Linked DNA regions of Arabidopsis thaliana. The protein of the gene in region 2 interacts with the protein of the main gene of each other region in a biochemical or structural test. Each region holds a gene or a part of one and is shown on either strand. Other genes may lie near its edges. The genes, in order: COP1 and TCP-1.

Evidence for each region.
Region 1: the proteins of TCP-1 (region 2) and COP1 form a complex in vitro, tested with the Arabidopsis thaliana proteins (one study listed by BioGRID).

Annotation. Positions count from the first base shown.
Region 1 is NC_003071.7:13,975,718-13,984,636, reverse strand, and holds COP1 (Transducin/WD40 repeat-like superfamily protein), read right to left. Parts: upstream 6,757-8,919; 5' UTR 6,638-6,756; coding exon 6,320-6,637; intron 5,981-6,319; coding exon 5,903-5,980; intron 5,769-5,902; coding exon of another isoform or gene 5,765-5,768; coding exon 5,609-5,764; intron 5,352-5,608; coding exon 5,001-5,351; intron 4,431-5,000; coding exon 4,273-4,430; intron 4,179-4,272; coding exon 4,113-4,178; intron 3,586-4,112; coding exon 3,507-3,585; intron 3,217-3,506; coding exon 3,061-3,216; intron 2,965-3,060; coding exon 2,866-2,964; intron 2,260-2,865; coding exon 2,155-2,259; intron 2,013-2,154; coding exon 1,833-2,012; intron 1,748-1,832; coding exon 1,637-1,747; intron 1,526-1,636; coding exon 1,355-1,525; 3' UTR 1,028-1,354; downstream 1-1,027. Other genes in the region: AGO6 (Argonaute family protein), read left to right, coding at 7,781-7,963, 8,051-8,256, 8,354-8,572, 8,758-8,891. UniProt on the Arabidopsis thaliana protein: E3 ubiquitin-protein ligase that acts as a repressor of photomorphogenesis and as an activator of etiolation in darkness.
Region 2 is NC_003074.8:6,996,867-7,004,663, forward strand, and holds TCP-1 (T-complex protein 1 alpha subunit), read right to left. Parts: upstream 5,570-7,797; 5' UTR 5,401-5,569; coding exon 5,328-5,400; intron 5,151-5,327; coding exon 5,086-5,150; intron 4,874-5,085; coding exon 4,784-4,873; intron 4,672-4,783; coding exon 4,585-4,671; intron 4,477-4,584; coding exon 4,417-4,476; intron 4,331-4,416; coding exon 4,280-4,330; intron 4,128-4,279; coding exon 4,032-4,127; intron 3,845-4,031; coding exon 3,779-3,844; intron 3,684-3,778; coding exon 3,466-3,683; intron 3,221-3,465; coding exon 3,124-3,220; intron 2,997-3,123; coding exon 2,910-2,996; intron 2,831-2,909; coding exon 2,696-2,830; intron 2,541-2,695; coding exon 2,436-2,540; intron 2,351-2,435; coding exon 2,222-2,350; intron 2,138-2,221; coding exon 2,034-2,137; intron 1,940-2,033; coding exon 1,849-1,939; intron 1,762-1,848; coding exon 1,678-1,761; 3' UTR 1,293-1,677; downstream 1-1,292. Other genes in the region: ATHXK4 (Hexokinase), read left to right, coding at 1-16, 145-243, 341-468, 657-735, 833-1,198; UBC19 (ubiquitin-conjugating enzyme19), read right to left, coding at 6,061-6,107, 6,205-6,264, 6,367-6,430, 6,539-6,766, 6,850-6,877, 7,299-7,417.

The DNA.
Region 1 (8,919 bases), on a different chromosome or scaffold from region 2:
ATTATGTGACCATCTAGTTACTTTAATAGCCTAATATTGTAACATTTCTTTAGAACATTGACTTGGTACTGTGTTTTATTTAGTTAATTATATAAACTCAAAATATTAACACACATTCAATCTTATCCACAATTCATTTTCATATATAAGACTAGCCAATTTCTTTATTGATTTTTCTGATTAATTACTACGATAAATTTAAGTTGTTGTTTCGAGTTTATAAGATGTATATTATAAGCAATTATAAATTAAAACGTACAAAAAATTGTAATTTTTTTAAGACTAGTTTAATATAATTTTTTTTGGGAAGAGATGTATTTCGCTAGCAAATAATTTCTAAAAGAAATAGACTAAAAATTGAATCTGAATATACAGAGACTAAGATTTAGACCCGAATTCGCGGTTATTTTTTAAAAAATAGGATAGGTATCGAATTATATGTGTAGAATATCAATTAACAAAAAATGTTGTATGAAAGTAGTTATTTAATAGAAAGAAAACTAGGATTTGATGGCTATGGTTGCTTAAAGGGAAGAAACACATTAGTGTGTCCAATTCGTTGTGAAAAAGTCGTTCTTTCCACTCAAAAGAGATTGTTTACAAAGTCAATGACTTGTAACTTAGGGAATTAGAAAAACCTGTAAATAGCATTCTTTTATTAAGCCACCTAACCTAATTATTATGACTAAGATGACCAAGTGAAGTATGTAACGTTTTTAGGAACGAAAACAAAAGACGAAAACTAAAATGTTTGGCCATGTGATTTAAACTTCACAAAGCATGCATGATTTTATATAGACATCATGCCATCCCTAGTTGCGTATCCAAATTTAAAAGGGTTACTCTTATAGTATTGATACGACCAATTTATGAAAATGTGTCACACAATCACTTTGTTATGAGTTAATTTAGAGGTGTTAAGTAATTGTATATAATTTCACTTATGACACAAATTCGTCAATTCTCATGAATTTTACATTATAAAATGATTTTTTTTTTTCAATGATCTTGCTACATGAACATACTAATGACTTATTGCATGGGTCGGACCTTTTGTATAAGCCAAGGTTTGACTTTTCATGACCGATTCACATCACCGCATTTTGATTCTAACATTTAATTATATAAAGTAGAAGCTAAGAAACCGTAAGACATATCTACATCACTGATACAAATTCTTCTTGAGGAGTGTTCCAAGGCAAGCATAATAATACAAAGTTGCTTTCCAAATGATGAACCCTACTTTTAATAAATTGTTCTCTCTCTATATGTAACTCCCACTAAAGAACATAGACGGCAAATTTGTTTTTATTGATTCACGAAGCTATAAGATCTTTTGTAATGTCTACTAGAATCACGCAGCGAGTACCAGAACTTTGATGGTTCCTTGACTATTCGCAGTCAACATCGTGGGACTATCACTCTTCCAGCAAACCGCACTAATAAAGTAGGAACCTGCCTCTTCCTCTGCATCGTCCATGTCTGGCGATCCAAATCTGTGCGATGTCACGGGTCTCGTGATTTCCTGCATCGCATCATTCACATTTTAAAATACTTGAGCAACGACAGGTTGAAAATCTGTGAATCATGAATGAAAAATGCTAAAGTTGAGAGCAGAGGTTTCGGATTTGTGAACCTTGTGATATACATATACTTCGTTTGTCTCGCTTCCACAGGCGAGATACTCGCTGTTCACTGTGAGACCCACAAAGTTCTTCTCGTTAGTATGTCCTCTGAATGTTCGAACCTGAAAAGTAAAATTGAACAACATAGTCAAGACAAGTTTTTCTTTTTGACTGAATCTGCAAGATTGGCTCGGGCAGTAATCTAACTGGCAAGTTGTCTTTGACATCCCATAAGCGTAGTGTGCTATCTGTGGACGCAGAAGCGAGCTCGTTGTTGGACAAAAATTTAACATAGGAAACTGCTTTCTTGTGTCCACTGAAGACATGAAGTGGTTGGCTTATGTTTCTTAGATCGTAATAATGGATGTGATGATCAGCTGATCCGACCTGTGATAAGTCAACAGGCTTAAACGTCTAAGTCTCTCTATCTAATTAAAGATTATATCTAGAGACGTGTGATAGTGTCATGCTGATCATGAGTGGTAGCGAATAAATGTGAGATGCAAAGTTGAGGCGTGGAAGTATATACCGCAATGTAGTTGCTTGAGCCAGGATTGTACTTGACACAACATATGTTTGCTTTCATATCAATATTAATCACACTTGCTTCCTGCCTCGTGCACCAAACTTTAACCTGGATCAAACACACAGCACAATTGGTTAATCTATGAGACATGATTTAACAGATGCAATAATGCATGGTTGAGGATTAACTAGTAGTGAATTGACTTAAAAGGAGCCCACTGGTATAATATGCTTTTGTCAGAATTAGAAATCCAGTGAATTTTTCAATAACGTTTAATTAAATTTGGACAAATGAAGCTACAAAATTTCAAGGTAAAATCTACTATATACAAGTGTCCAGTTTCGTTTGTTTCCTAATGTATAGCCACCACAGATACACTAAGGGGAAAATTTTGCTGAAAATTTAAGAAACCAACAAACATTCAATGTAGGAAGGGCTACATATGACCAATCCCCAAGTTGGGAAGAACAACTCAAAGAAAAGTTTAAGAAGTAGTAGAAAAGATTCATGAGAACACAATGTACTAATGAGCAAGTAGGAGATTCTCCAGTTTTGTTTCACAATATGTCTCTTTAGTTCGTCGTAGAAATTAGACAAATCCGTGACCAAGTTAGTTATAAGAGCTAGGAGATATCTAAAAGTAGTATTCTTTTTATATGAGACATAGCCCAATGTGAGATGAAAGGTGATAACGGAAAATATGGAGATATTTACCTTGCAGTCGTCACTACCAGATACAAGCATTGATGGTTCTGTTCGTGAAAAGTCAACACTCCAGGCACGTTTTTCGTGCTCTTCATACTCCATAAGACTCTGCCTCAGTTTACATAAAAATTCAAATACGCTGCAGAATTCATGAGATGAATATCTTATAGGTGCGATGTTAGATACTTTGGGTAAAGTACTCACCTGCCTAGTAGTTACATCCCACACTGTTACTATTCCTTCATAATCACTGCTTGCTATGTGATTTTTTTCATGCTTATTCCAACTCAAGCAACTAAGTTTAGACCGAGTTGACATCTCCACAATCGGACACTGCATATCTGCTGGTTCATTTACAACCTGAAAAGTAGCAGCCGATAATCAATCAGTTCAGCGTGGTCCATTGGATAAAACAGAAAATTAAAACCAAAAATTTGATTAGCTTTGATTTATATTCTTCTACGCAATACAAAAGTGTAAAATGGCTATCTTGCATCAAAGCTAGAATTTCCCAAGAGCATAACTTAGTTTCATTATCAACGAAGCTTTCTTAGAATTGAGATGCATGATCAGTTTCACAAAAGCATAAGGTTGGACAAGAAGATTCAATTGGTATGTAATTGAATGCACTCCAAGATTTATGAACGTACCGAAGAGAAGTCAAAAACCTTTATACATCTAGAAACACCAGCAGTGGCAAACAGCTCATCATCACGATCAAACTCTATGCTGAAAAGGAACAGCACCCTCTTCATCAGCAAAATCAGTAAGATGGTACATCAAATTACAGGTAAACTAGAGGTCCAGGCAAAGCATAAAGCATGTAAACTATGGAAGACCATAAACCAAAGCACATAGAGAGAAAAAGATATGAGCCCCGGAGCTCCCAGACCATAAACTAAAAATATATATCTTTCGTCTCTTCATTGAGAAGAGACACTTTCATATAAAAGATCGCAAACCGATTCTATATATTCCGACATGGATAAGGATAACATAGTGTTCCATCTTTTAGAAAATTCTCCTCAAGTGGCCTGCTGACTACACAACCTTCTCCCTACCATGTCAGCAGTTTTATCTTCATACTATTCACTGGCTTAGAATTACACAGCAACGAATCCCATAGTAATAATTGCGTCTATCAATACATTAAACAAAACTTAATCACTTAAGGGTCTATTTTGATATATTCGGAGACATTCTTTTGGTACCTATCATCTGTTATCTGATCAACGAACAAGGAATAGAAAATTCACCTTGATACAATGTTGGCTGAATGAAATATATCCCCATGCCGGATTTCTGCTATAACTCTTAGACGACTGTGAATAAAGAGTGCAATTAAAACCCCAACTAATTCGAAAACACTCTTTATGTACGGCTAGACCGATTGAAAAGGGATAGTCACTCCTCTACCTGTAGCGAGTGAAGGTAGTCAACACAGATTGAAAATCTGCAAGGCCGTTGCTATAGCCTTCCCTCCGTACTACACTCTTATCATTTTCTTGTTTACTATTTGGTTGGTCTGCCAACTGACGCCGCTTTTGGAGGTAACATTCTTGTAAATCATTGAACTACAAGACAAGACACTTTAACAGAATTAGGCAATCTGTGCATATATCAACAAGCAGTTACAGAGAGATTAAAGGACCATGCAGGTTTTTTCAAGAAAACTACTATAATTGTGATTGCATAGTATTCACAGAACTGTTAGTGTGTCTAGAGAACATAGTGACTTTTTGTTGCTATAGTACCAGAGAGACAAGAAGCGGCTACTATCACTAAGCAGTAGATATAAAGTCCAGAAAGCTATTTCTACTTTTACGTGCAAACAATACGAAATCAATCTCTCTGAAGTCCAATCGGCTTTTTATAAAGACCACCAAAAATGTGGGCCTTAATCTAAGGTATCTTTTCCGTAAGAAGATTCATCCTCTACCCACAACCACTTTCAATTTCTCGAGCTGTCAATCCAGATGACCAAGAGCTGAGTAGCTAGGCATGGTAGTAACTGTAACACAATCACTGGGGCCTAATTGTAGTAATTATTCTTATTCTTTAATAGACAAATATCTTAAACTTTAATGCCATTGTCCTTTTACCATTTCAGCATAAAGATGTTGAGTAGACAAGGAGGAACAAACCTGAGCATGAATCCGTTTCTTTCTAGCCATTGAGACAGTTGACTGATTCAAACTTTGCGAATCTGACCCACTCAGCGCATCCTTCTTTGGTAGCCCATGAGAGCTTCCTTGTGCCTTCCCCTCTACCTTTTTGTTTTGATAATTGCCTACAAAATTTCCTCCTCTTATGCTGAGAGAATTGGAGTTGAAACCAATCTGGTTCTTCTCATGTGGCCATGCATTTCTTGTGCTTGGATCATCTCCGAGCATCCGCAACTTTACAGAATATCTGTCCCTAGCTCGGTATAAATCTATTCTATGTCTCTCAACGGCATTTATATCTTCTTTAATATACTGGAGATCAGTTTGCACCTACATTAAGATAGAGAAGACATAAATGACAGAATTCTATAATATTCTGAGATCTCATCTAACATTCAGGGGTTATACGTCTCATGAATAGTTGGATAGATCATACATCTATTGATAGAAACATGGTTTATGGCTTTCTTTTACAACAACTATACAGTCTAAACCCAGTGAAGATTTTGAAGCAAATGGAATGAAGAGCAACGAGAATAATTATCAATAGGTAGCCCAATGCTACTCCATAATTCAGACAAACCAACCTCATTTAGTTCATCAACTTTTTGCTTCCTTAGACAATGCAAAAAGTCCAAAAGTATCTGCATGTTCCTCTCAGCTTCTTCCTGTTCCATTTTTCTCTTCCTTTCCGCAAGAAGTGTCAGAAGATTATCAACCTCCTTAATTGACACATCACAACCCTGTCTAAGTATGAACGCAGGAAGTCAATATTTGATCAAAAGAAATGACTTAGAATTGCTTTTTACTCCAATAATAATTCTGAGAAAGCAAACTTAAAGAGGAAAAAATGAAACATAAAAAGCTTGTTAAGAACCGACCCTTTGTAGTGCTTCCCGAAACTGATCCAAGGGCGATGCAGTTTTTGACACATGCCGAGCTGAAGTTTTCTTCAATAGCTACACAATTGATACATAAACGTCATATAATAAGCTGCATTCCAGTGATAAATAGTTTCAATACACTATCATTCCTATAAACATGCTTCTATTTAGCTGTAATAAGCAGAATCCTACCACAATACTACACATCAAAAACAAAACAAAACCTTCCTAAGAAAATCTAATGGCAAGGTTCATTGGAATCGATTAAAGACTAAGCTAGCTTACTTGTTTCCACAAAAACCACGACAAAAACCAAACTTGATTACAAGCTAAGACTCAAACAAGCAACACCCGAACTTGAACTGAAAAGCTAAGGACCAAACACAAATTACGAGTAAAATTAGAAAAAGAAACCTTATCGAGCAAGAAATTAGGGTAAAGCTGATTATTGGTGAGGTGTTGGCTACAACAGGGACAATCACTCTTGTTCCTAAGATGTGTGATGATACACATATAGCAGAAACTATGACCACAAGCCGTGAGGAAAGCATCTTTAATAATCTGCATACAAATCGGACAAAGCAAGTCTTTATCCAGATCCGGTGCTCCAATCTCAGAACCGCCGCTTCCTCCGTCGTCATTTTCATGACGATTAGCACCTTCACCAACTGAAGATGTTCTCGGGTCAGGTTTCACCGCTGGAACAACCGGATCCGTCGAAATCTCTTCCATTTTGCTTTCAAAAGATTTCTTCGATTGTGATTTTGGTTTTTGAGAAAATCGGAATTGTGAGAAAAGAGTGGTTTGGGTATGACGTCGGAGATGAAGGAGGAGTGAGGCTGAGGTGTGGTGGGATCCACCGTGGTTCTTTTCTGAGGTGACAAATCCTACACGTTCTGGTCTACGCGCTTCTTTTCGCGCGTGTGTCTGGCGTTTCTCCAAGCGCTGGTACGGTTTAATTATCCGGCTTCTAATTTATAGTCCGGTTCAATGAAATTTCTTACAATTACCACGACGGTCTAATTTAATTTCTTACAACCATTCATTTTATTTCTTACTATTTGAAATGAATAAGTTGGGAATTTCAATCCATTCAACCGGAGCATAACCCTAGAAATAGAATAAGTTTTGAAGGATTCGGTTTAATAATTTTGGAATAAACCATTTTTATTTCAGTTCTTAAATTTTGTTACTGTAAAAAATGACTGAAAAGTGAAATATATTTTAATTTTCCCATCACTGGAAACGTTCCCTCCATTCTTTTGCTTGTCTGGGAAACCCAAAGAGACTGTGACGGAGAAGAGAAATGAGCTAAATAAATTCCTCTCTTTGATTCACCGGAACCCTAGAAATCCTCTTCTTAATTCTTTCAAAGGTGCGCTGTTTTCACTAGATATCGCTGTTGTAATTGTTGTTGATTCGGAGCTAGGTTTTGTTTTTGTCTCTCTTTCGGAGAATTTGCATGAAGCTAGGATTTGTCTGTTGATAGTTGTATGGTTTTGGCTGCGTTGTTTCTCTCTTGAAAGTCTTGTTATGCTACTGTATGACACACTCGAATGAGTTTTTGTTTGTGTAATGTTTCTCAATTTTGAAGGCGACCAACAGTTAAAGGTGCCATTTTTTTTCCAGATTAAGTTTGTTCCTCATCTGAAATTTATACCATTTCTCGCGATTTAGCAGGATATGCCCAGAAATTAAAATCTTAGAACGACAATGGTGGTAAAGTTTTTAGCTTTTTACCTTTTGGAGTTGTCTTCTTAATTTGGTGTTTTTCTTTTCTTTCTTAGTCTCCTGAGCATTGTGTTTTGGACTGGTTTTTGCACACTGTAACCAACCTCCACTTTTCTCTCTTGCAGATTATTTTCCCCTGGAAGGATGGAGACATCTTCATCTCTGCCACTGTCACCCATAAGTATAGAACCAGAACAGCCCAGCCATCGAGATTATGACATCACAACTAGACGTGGGGTTGGAACCACAGGCAACCCAATAGAATTGTGCACCAATCACTTTAATGTTTCTGTGAGACAGCCGGATGTAGTATTTTACCAGTACACTGTAAGATTCATTAGTCACTTTTCTGCATTCTTTCATCAGTGTCTGTGCGTGTGTGAGATGTTTGACATATCGGTACCTTTTTTGCAGGTTAGTATCACCACAGAAAACGGTGATGCTGTTGATGGGACAGGAATAAGCAGAAAGCTTATGGACCAACTATTCAAGACTTACTCTTCTGATCTTGATGGTAAAAGGTTGGCATATGATGGAGAGAAGACTTTATATACTGTTGGTCCTCTACCACAGAACGAATTTGACTTTCTAGTCATCGTGGAAGGGTCATTTTCAAAACGGTATGTCCCTCTTATCTGGATTGATATTTAATCGTTTCAAGGTGTCAAGATAGATCTTGTTGATCTTCTAACTAACGCAGTCTTGTTAAGTTTATAGTGATTGTGGTGTCTCTGATGGTGGTAGTTCTTCCGGTACTTGCAAGCGATCAAAACGTTCTTTCTTGCCAAGAAGTTACAAGGTTCAGATACATTATGCTGCAGAAATACCGTTGAAGACTGTTCTTGGCACTCAGAGAGGAGCTTATACACCAGATAAGAGTGCTCAGGATGCACTTAGAGTGCTTGACATTGTACTGAGGCAGCAAGCAGCTGAAAGGTAAATCTTTCTATCTGTTTGCTTTTGTGCAGTTTATATTTTTATTAAAATAGATACTCTACGTTCTAATGGACCAATTTTTATTATCATATTTTCACTTTGTTGGTGAAATTTAATCAATGTACAACTATTTGCATTTTGTGACCATGCTCGATGCTTACTATAGAAAACTGTTGATAATGCAGGGGATGCCTTTTGGTCAGACAGGCATTTTTCCATAGCGATGGGCACCCCATGAAAGTTGGAGGAGGTGTTATAGGTATTCGAGGTTTACATTCGAGCTTTCGTCCAACTCATGGAGGACTCTCGCTTAACATTGGTATTTTTCAGTATACCTTTCTCATCTC
Region 2 (7,797 bases):
GACTTCTGGAAGCATGGTAATAACTATTAAGAATCGTTACATAGTTCATCCTTAGAAACCAGCCATCAAAGTTTAGATTCCACAGGATTCAATTTAAAAGACTTGATTTTTTCTTCTTTATGATACTTTGTTATTTTGTGTTAGGTGGTCAATATGGAGTGGGGAAACTTTTGGTCATCTCGTCTGCCAAGAACTTCATATGACCTTGAGTTGGATGCAGAGAGTATGAATTCAAATGACATGGTAATATTTTGCGAAGTTTCCTTTCTCTTGTTTCGTTTTATCATGTTTTCAAGTTATTTTTTATCAGGTAATCAATTTGGTGGGTATTGTTTTATAGGGCTTTGAGAAGATGATAGGAGGGATGTATCTGGGCGACATTGTCCGCAGAGTAATTCTTCGAATGTCACAAGAGTCCGACATCTTTGGACCTATCTCATCCATTTTATCCACGCCTTTCGTTCTGAGGTACATTTCCGTTATGTTTTCTTCTGCTTCTGTTTCAAATGGAAAAAAAAACTGCCAAACGTATACTTCGTTTCCTATATAAACTTTTGCGAATTCTCAAAAAGCACATAGTAGCTTTTACGTAACATGATTTTCGTGTTTATCTATACGTATATATTTGTCTGAATAAATTTTTCCTCCAATTTCAGAACAAATTCTGTCTCAGCAATGCATGAAGATGACACATCCGAGTTACAAGAAGTAGCACGAATCTTGAAAGATTTAGGGGTAAGCAAACAAGTTTGTTGTGATGCAAAGTTTTGTTCTGTTCACTTGGCTCATTATCTTGGCTCTCTCTCTCTCTATCTTTGATTCATAATCACAGGTGTCAGAGGTACCAATGAAGGTGAGGAAACTTGTAGTGAAGATCTGCGATGTAGTGACACGCAGAGCAGCTAGGCTAGCAGCAGCAGGAATTGCAGGAATCTTGAAGAAGGTAGGGAGAGATGGGAGCGGAGGAGGAAGGAGAAGCGATAAGCAGATAATGAGAAGAACAGTGGTGGCAGTTGAAGGAGGTCTGTATTTGAACTACAGGATGTTCAGAGAATATATGGACGAAGCTCTGAGAGATATACTGGGAGAAGATGTGGCTCAACACGTAGTGGTGAAGGCCATGGAAGATGGTTCCAGCATTGGCTCTGCATTGTTGCTGGCTTCGTCACAAAGTGTTCAAACAATACCATCCGTATGAATAATTTGTGTACATATTTACAATGTATATAGCCAATTGTTTTAGAAGCATGTAGGTTTGTGTAAATATTGTAGGCACTTTTTAGTTTCTTCTACTCATGATTAAGTAAATTACAGTTTATTTACAACAACAAAAAATGACTTGTTAGTGCAACGGAATTAATACAGAACAGTGAAACCTAATCTTTTGGGGATAAATCTTTGTGTCATTGTGTGAGAGAGGACATTCAAAAACTACACCATAAATTCAAACAGTAAGAGACGAAAGCCCAACTTCATTACATGCGTTACCCGACAAAAAGCAAAAATTTCTTGAAGTAAAAAGTGAGCAAGAAACGAGAGAGTTGAAAAATAAACAGAAACAGCTCTTTCAGAGGCTACATTGTTACAGCGCAAAAAAGAAGCTAAAGAGGAGCTGAAAATGCGGACAAAAACACACACTAAGGATGATAAGGCGGATAAAGAGGAGCTGAGCTTTGCTTATTCTTCGCCTTGGCTCTCATCCTTCACCAGTTTGATCATGTCGTCAATTCGTAGAATCGTTATGGCTGCCTCTGTTGCAAACTGGTCACAAAACAAAGCTCCTTTAAAATTTAAGAGATTACTTGATTTTTTAATATTCTAGTTCATGTAAAGCCAAGTGCCTTTTACCTGGATAATTTTCACTTTGCTCATAGCTGGTTCGATCACTCCAGCTTCCAAATTGTTGCGGATGGTTCCGTTTACGAGGTCAAGTCCCATGCTGCATTTACGTTTTCTCAACATGAAGCCAATGAGCATATAACATTTTCAAACAGAACCTCAAAGGGAAAAGACACAAACAGATTGCTTATCACCTTGAATAGTGCTTCTTATCAGCCTTGGTTTGTGCAGTGTGGTGGTACGCTCTTAGTTTAGCTACCAATTCGGTTGCATCCTTAGCAGCGTTTACTGCAAGCACCTGATAACAGGATGATAAACGTTGGATTATAAGATAAGAACAAAAGACAGATTTTTATTGATGAAATAGGTTTGTAGGTCGCACCTTTGGTATAATCAATAGCGCATCAGCAAATTCAGCGATGGCCAATTGTTCGCGAGAGCCCAAGGTTGTAGCAAGGTGCTCCAGATACACAGACAATGCTGATTCAACTGCACCTCCACCCGCAACCACCTGTTTGACAAGGAAACAAGAAATGTAATGTTTGTTCTTTGCTAAATGCAAGGAGTATGTCTAACAGAAAGTAAAGGAATGTTACCGTGTTGGACTCAAGGGTCCTCTTGACAATACATAAAGCGTCATGCAGTGCTCTCTCCATCTCATCAAGCATGTAGTCATTTGCACCTCTTAAGATCAACGAGACCTAACAGGAAAAAAACACTTATAAACATGAAAAACCTAGACAAAACTCTGTGTGATATGTTAAACAACTTTAAAAGAAATATACTTAAGATTGATTTTGTGTGATATAGTACTGTCAGCAATCAAGTAAGATTCATTGCTGAGAGAATGGCATACCGCACTACTTGTTTTGGTTCCCTTTATCAATATAACATCATCATCTGCGATTCTCTCTTCAACAACCTCATCAGCAGATCCAAGGTGAGCTGGATCAAATGTTTCTTCGCCCTCCATGTCAGCAAAAGTGGTGACCTAAAATAAAGGATAAATATATTAGTTGAAATTTTAGTTTGACAACATGGGTATTGAAAAAGCCTAGCGCAGGAAGTACCAGAGTCGCTCCTGTCGCCTTGGCAACATGACGCATGTCTTCTTTGCGCACACGCCTAACAGCAATAGCTCCTGCCTCTACAAAGTACTGAAATAAAAACAAGAGAAATGAGAATCCATTACGGTGAACCAAACATAAACGCAACTAAACTTGAATACTTCAAAAACTAAGTTATGTGTAAACGATAGAGAAAATCATTGGTTTTCATTCTCACTTTAAGTGCCATGTCGTCAATCCCCTTTGTGGTCAGAATTACATTGGCCCCAGCTTTGAGAAGTTTCTCTATCCGCTCTTTTGTCATGTCAGCTTCTCTGTGGAAACAAATATTCAGCAACATATTAAAAAACTCTGTATGGAACACAGATAACATGAGCTACAAGTGTACAGTAAAGCAAATTTATTAAGCTTTCCATATCGCATACACCCGGAAATTGGAGAATGCAAATACTTCTTCACCCAAGGATCAAGAGAACAAACCGAATGACATTTGGTAGGAAAAAAGCAAGCACTCTGAATGTAAGGAATTCAGGGAAAAGTGTATAACTGCGAAAACTACCTTTGACGGATCTTTTCAAGTTCTCGTGGGTCATTAACAACAACTTGGACACCCAGCTGCATTTTTGTCTTCTGCAGATTGAAGTCAAGGCAAGCAATCTTTGCTGGGGACACTCGTAATGGCATCCCTTGGGCAGCACGACCAGTATTGAGTGCATATCCATTTAACAAATAGCTGTCTCTTGCACTTTGTCCATGAGCTTTCAGAATATTAATGCCCTACAATGCGGTAAGAATAAGCGTTTAAGCATAAAAATATCATCCTCACTACAGATCTTTATGTTTGAAACTTTGACAGAGAAGCATTAACAGACCTTGATAGGGTATTTTATCTCTCCCCGCTGATTTGTCATCTTTACTGAAAGAACGGCTTCCACAACCTTTAAAAGAAATGTGATTATAACAGTTCAGCCACATGCAATGACTAGGGTATTATTGCAAGATAAACCAGATTTAAGTAGAAAAGAGTCCCCCAAGAAAAAACCAAGAATAAACATAGGTTTTAATAACACTAATGTTTTAATGAATTTCCACGTTATTGCTTAGTAAGGAGAACTGGAAGCGTACCAAATTGGCAAAGAAGTCGCTGTCACCAGATATCAGTTTGGAGGACATGCTGGTTTTGGCACAGTTTATCAATGGAACTTTCCCAAGCTTTTCGACCTATAAAACGCAAAAAAAAAAGTAATTAACTAAAGGGGAAGAGACAGACAGTACAGTGAGCTTTCCCAATTATACTGACACAAAAAAATTGTATGAAGAGAGGAAAATTTCCTCTAAGAGGCAAGACTATAGACCATCACACGAGGACTAACCTTGGTCACCAACTTCTCTTCTATGTATTTGCAAGATTCTCTCATTGCTAGCTGTCAACAGTAAAAAAGATAATGAACACACTGGAAACACTTCTGCAGTGCAGGTTACAACATATGAAATTAAAGTCGCAGCTTACCCTATATCCACTGATAATTGATGTTGGATGTATTTTGTTCCTGACCAAATCATTTGCCCTCTGCAAATATATACATAAGACCCATTAATCATCAAGCAATAGTTACCATGTGAAAAATCTCCCAACTCTAGGAAAACCAAAACCAAAGAAAACAGTAATCAAACTAACCTTCAACAACTCAGCAGCTACAATAACAACAGATGTAGTCCCATCACCGACTTCTCTATCTTGAAGTTCAGCTAACTCGACAAGAACCTGTCACAACAAAAGTAGACAGATTAGAGAACTGAGTAACTAATAATTCATAACCAGTGTTTTGAAATGATGATAAGAAAATACGTATAACAATCACATTTGCATAAATTACCTTAGCAGCAGGGTGCTCGACCTCCAACATCCTAAGAATAGTAGCACCATCATTTGTAATAGTCACATCACCAATATCATCCACCAACATCTGAAACACAAGCCAACATAACATGAAACACGATTGGAGGAACTAGGAACGAAAATACAAAGGACAATATCGAGCAGATTTAGAATAAAACTAGAAATGGTTAGGTCTAAAAGTAACCTAAAACTAAACACAACTGTTGCCAAGATGCATCTAAGATATAAAAAAGAAAGCTAGCAGAATATATATACACAGATGCAAATCAGAAACCAAACCTTGTCGAGGCCGACGGGACCAAGTGAGGTCTTAACAATATTAGAAACAGCTTGACAAGCCATCACTGCAAATAGAGTATATAAAATACGAGTCAATAACCACAAAACATCTAAAAGAATAGATTCAAAACAAACCCTAGCTAGAGATCGAAACAAATTTGCGATGAAAACAAAGTGAACAGTTTAGTAATGAGAAGAGATAGGAAATAGACGTAAGAGGAAGCGATGGAGAGTAGTAGTACCGTTCTGAGTACGAACATCTTGGCCGGATTGTCTATCGCCGGAAATATCCGGATTTTGGGCGGAGATCGACATTATTCAGTTGTTATATGAACAGAAGAGGAGAAGCGAAAGGCTCTAGATCGGAGATCTGAGCTCTCGAGATAAAGTGCAGTGAGAGATTTTTCGCCTTTTATTGAATTGAAGCGAAAATGCTTCTCAAAAGTTTGTGAGAGTGAGAGACTCCGGCGGGTTTTTAACTTTCAAGGTTTCTGGGATGTACGGCCAGGGTATGAATGAAGCGGCGACGTTTTTATATTGGGCCGAAATAATATATACCCTCAAAGCCCATTTGTAATAAAGAGTTAAGCACGAATTATGGGCTTGGGGATTTAAAAAGAAGGCCATAAATGTCAATTTCAAAACATTTCATTAGTCTTCAGTACTTTGTCCGGTGCCAACGTTTCACATGTTTGAGTCTTACTTCTCTCGTGGGGAACTTTGGTTTCTGGATTTTTCAATAGTTCAGAAACTTTTTTTTGTATTATACTTTCAGATACTTACTACAACATTTCAGAGTTACTATTATGAACTTCTCAAATCTCAGTTACGGAAGAGATATAGGTGGTGATTGTGGAACTGTAATAAAGGTAGAGTTTGATTGCTAATATTGGCTCAAATTGAGATTATAAAAGTAAAAGAGATATGATCCAATACAGTTGAGATTTTAAAATCAGTTACAGTGATTTTTGAGAATCATGCGTTTAAAGGCTTGTAGAGCTTCTCAACCATCTTCCTGTACTCTGTATAACATTACAAGTTCAAGAAGACGAATATCATTATGAATCGAAAAATGGAGACGTCCAGAGATGTGTAATCTGATAACTATTGCAATTTTACCTTCTTGATTGCTCCAAAGCTGAGCCGCTTGATTGTTCAATGGTGAGCTGATGTTCGGTTCTGATCAATTAAAACAAAACAGGAAAAATCAGATACTGGATCAAACCAACAGAGAAATTCTTCATAAGTAACCTCAACAGTTATATCAGCCATAGAGTTTACCTCCGAGAAGGCTTTGAATTGAGAGTAATATCGTCCTCACATCATAAGCAGATGACCATTTATCCTACAAAAGATGTGAAAACAGATTCTGTTTTAAGTACTGCTTCTCTGATATGTGATTCCATGGGATTTACAGTAACACAAGTAGAAAGAGCAAGTGATTGTTATGTACCTGAAGAATGTCCAAGCAAATATTGCCATAGAGATCCACATTGGGGTGGAAGCAGCATGTCTCAAACTTAACTTTGGGAGACTTAAAAGGATAATCGTTAGAGAAAGTGAGTGAGAGTCTGTACTCAGTTCCTTCGAACACAGTATCTTTGCTTCCTGTAATTGTTCCTTTCCAGCAAAATATGTTGTCTTCCTCTGGAAACGCAGATATCCCCGGATCAGCTCCCATCTGCAATACATAAACCCAAAGGCCTCTATATAAGCATCCAACCATATCAACAGGTTCAGTTATGCAGAGAAAAGATAGCTTACCATCAATCCCATTAGTTCAGATTGCAGCCTGCAATTAAGGAAAAACAATGAATTAGCAAAACCATGAATTTGTTTGCTTTGATCAAGAAAGGGTACATAAAAGAAAGTACTTGAGATCTGTAGTACATACAAAGTTTGATGTATCATTCTCTTAGAGACATTATAACAAACAGTTGGTAGACAAAGAGAGAACCCATCATTTCAGAAGAGAACAAGAGAAGTCACAATCAGTTTTGGATCCATCGTTTTCTCTAAAAATGATCTAGAAAGCATGTAGACCACAAGAAATGGATATGGGTAGAGCCAAAACCTAATCTAATCTACCTAAAGAAACATGAACAACTCTATAAACAATCGCAGCGATTCTAATCATTAAGAGGCTAAAGACTAATTCCTTTAAATGGACGCGAGAATATTCCAAGATCGGAAAAATGTAAAAAAGAAATAACCTTTTTAGAACGGAGTGGCTATCGACGGTCTTAGTCGGAGGAGCAGATTGCTTTGATCCGGTGGCTGCCGGTGTAGTCGCCGCCGGAGTATTCCCTGTGTACCCATTAACCGTCGCCATCCTTTTTCGCCTCTTCTAATTGAACAAAGCAACAATCGTAGTCGAAATTTCTGAAATTGAAACGCTTTTTTCTCGAGAAGAATCAGATTCAAGAATGATCGAAACTGAAGAAGAAGGAGAAGAGAGATAGAGATAGAGATAGAGAGAGAGTTCTTCTTCTCTTCTTTGAGAGAGAGAGACGTGGGTCTGGGTTATAAAACGTGTACGACACAAGAAACGTCGTCGTTTTCAAAAGCAATAAAAAGGAATTATCCTAAAGCATTTTCCGAACGTTATCACTTAGGTTATAGCGGCTATTTTGATGCATTTGAATTGAAAATTCACCTACCTTATGTAACGGCTATTTAATCTTTCCAATGATAAAATTTGTTACAAAAATA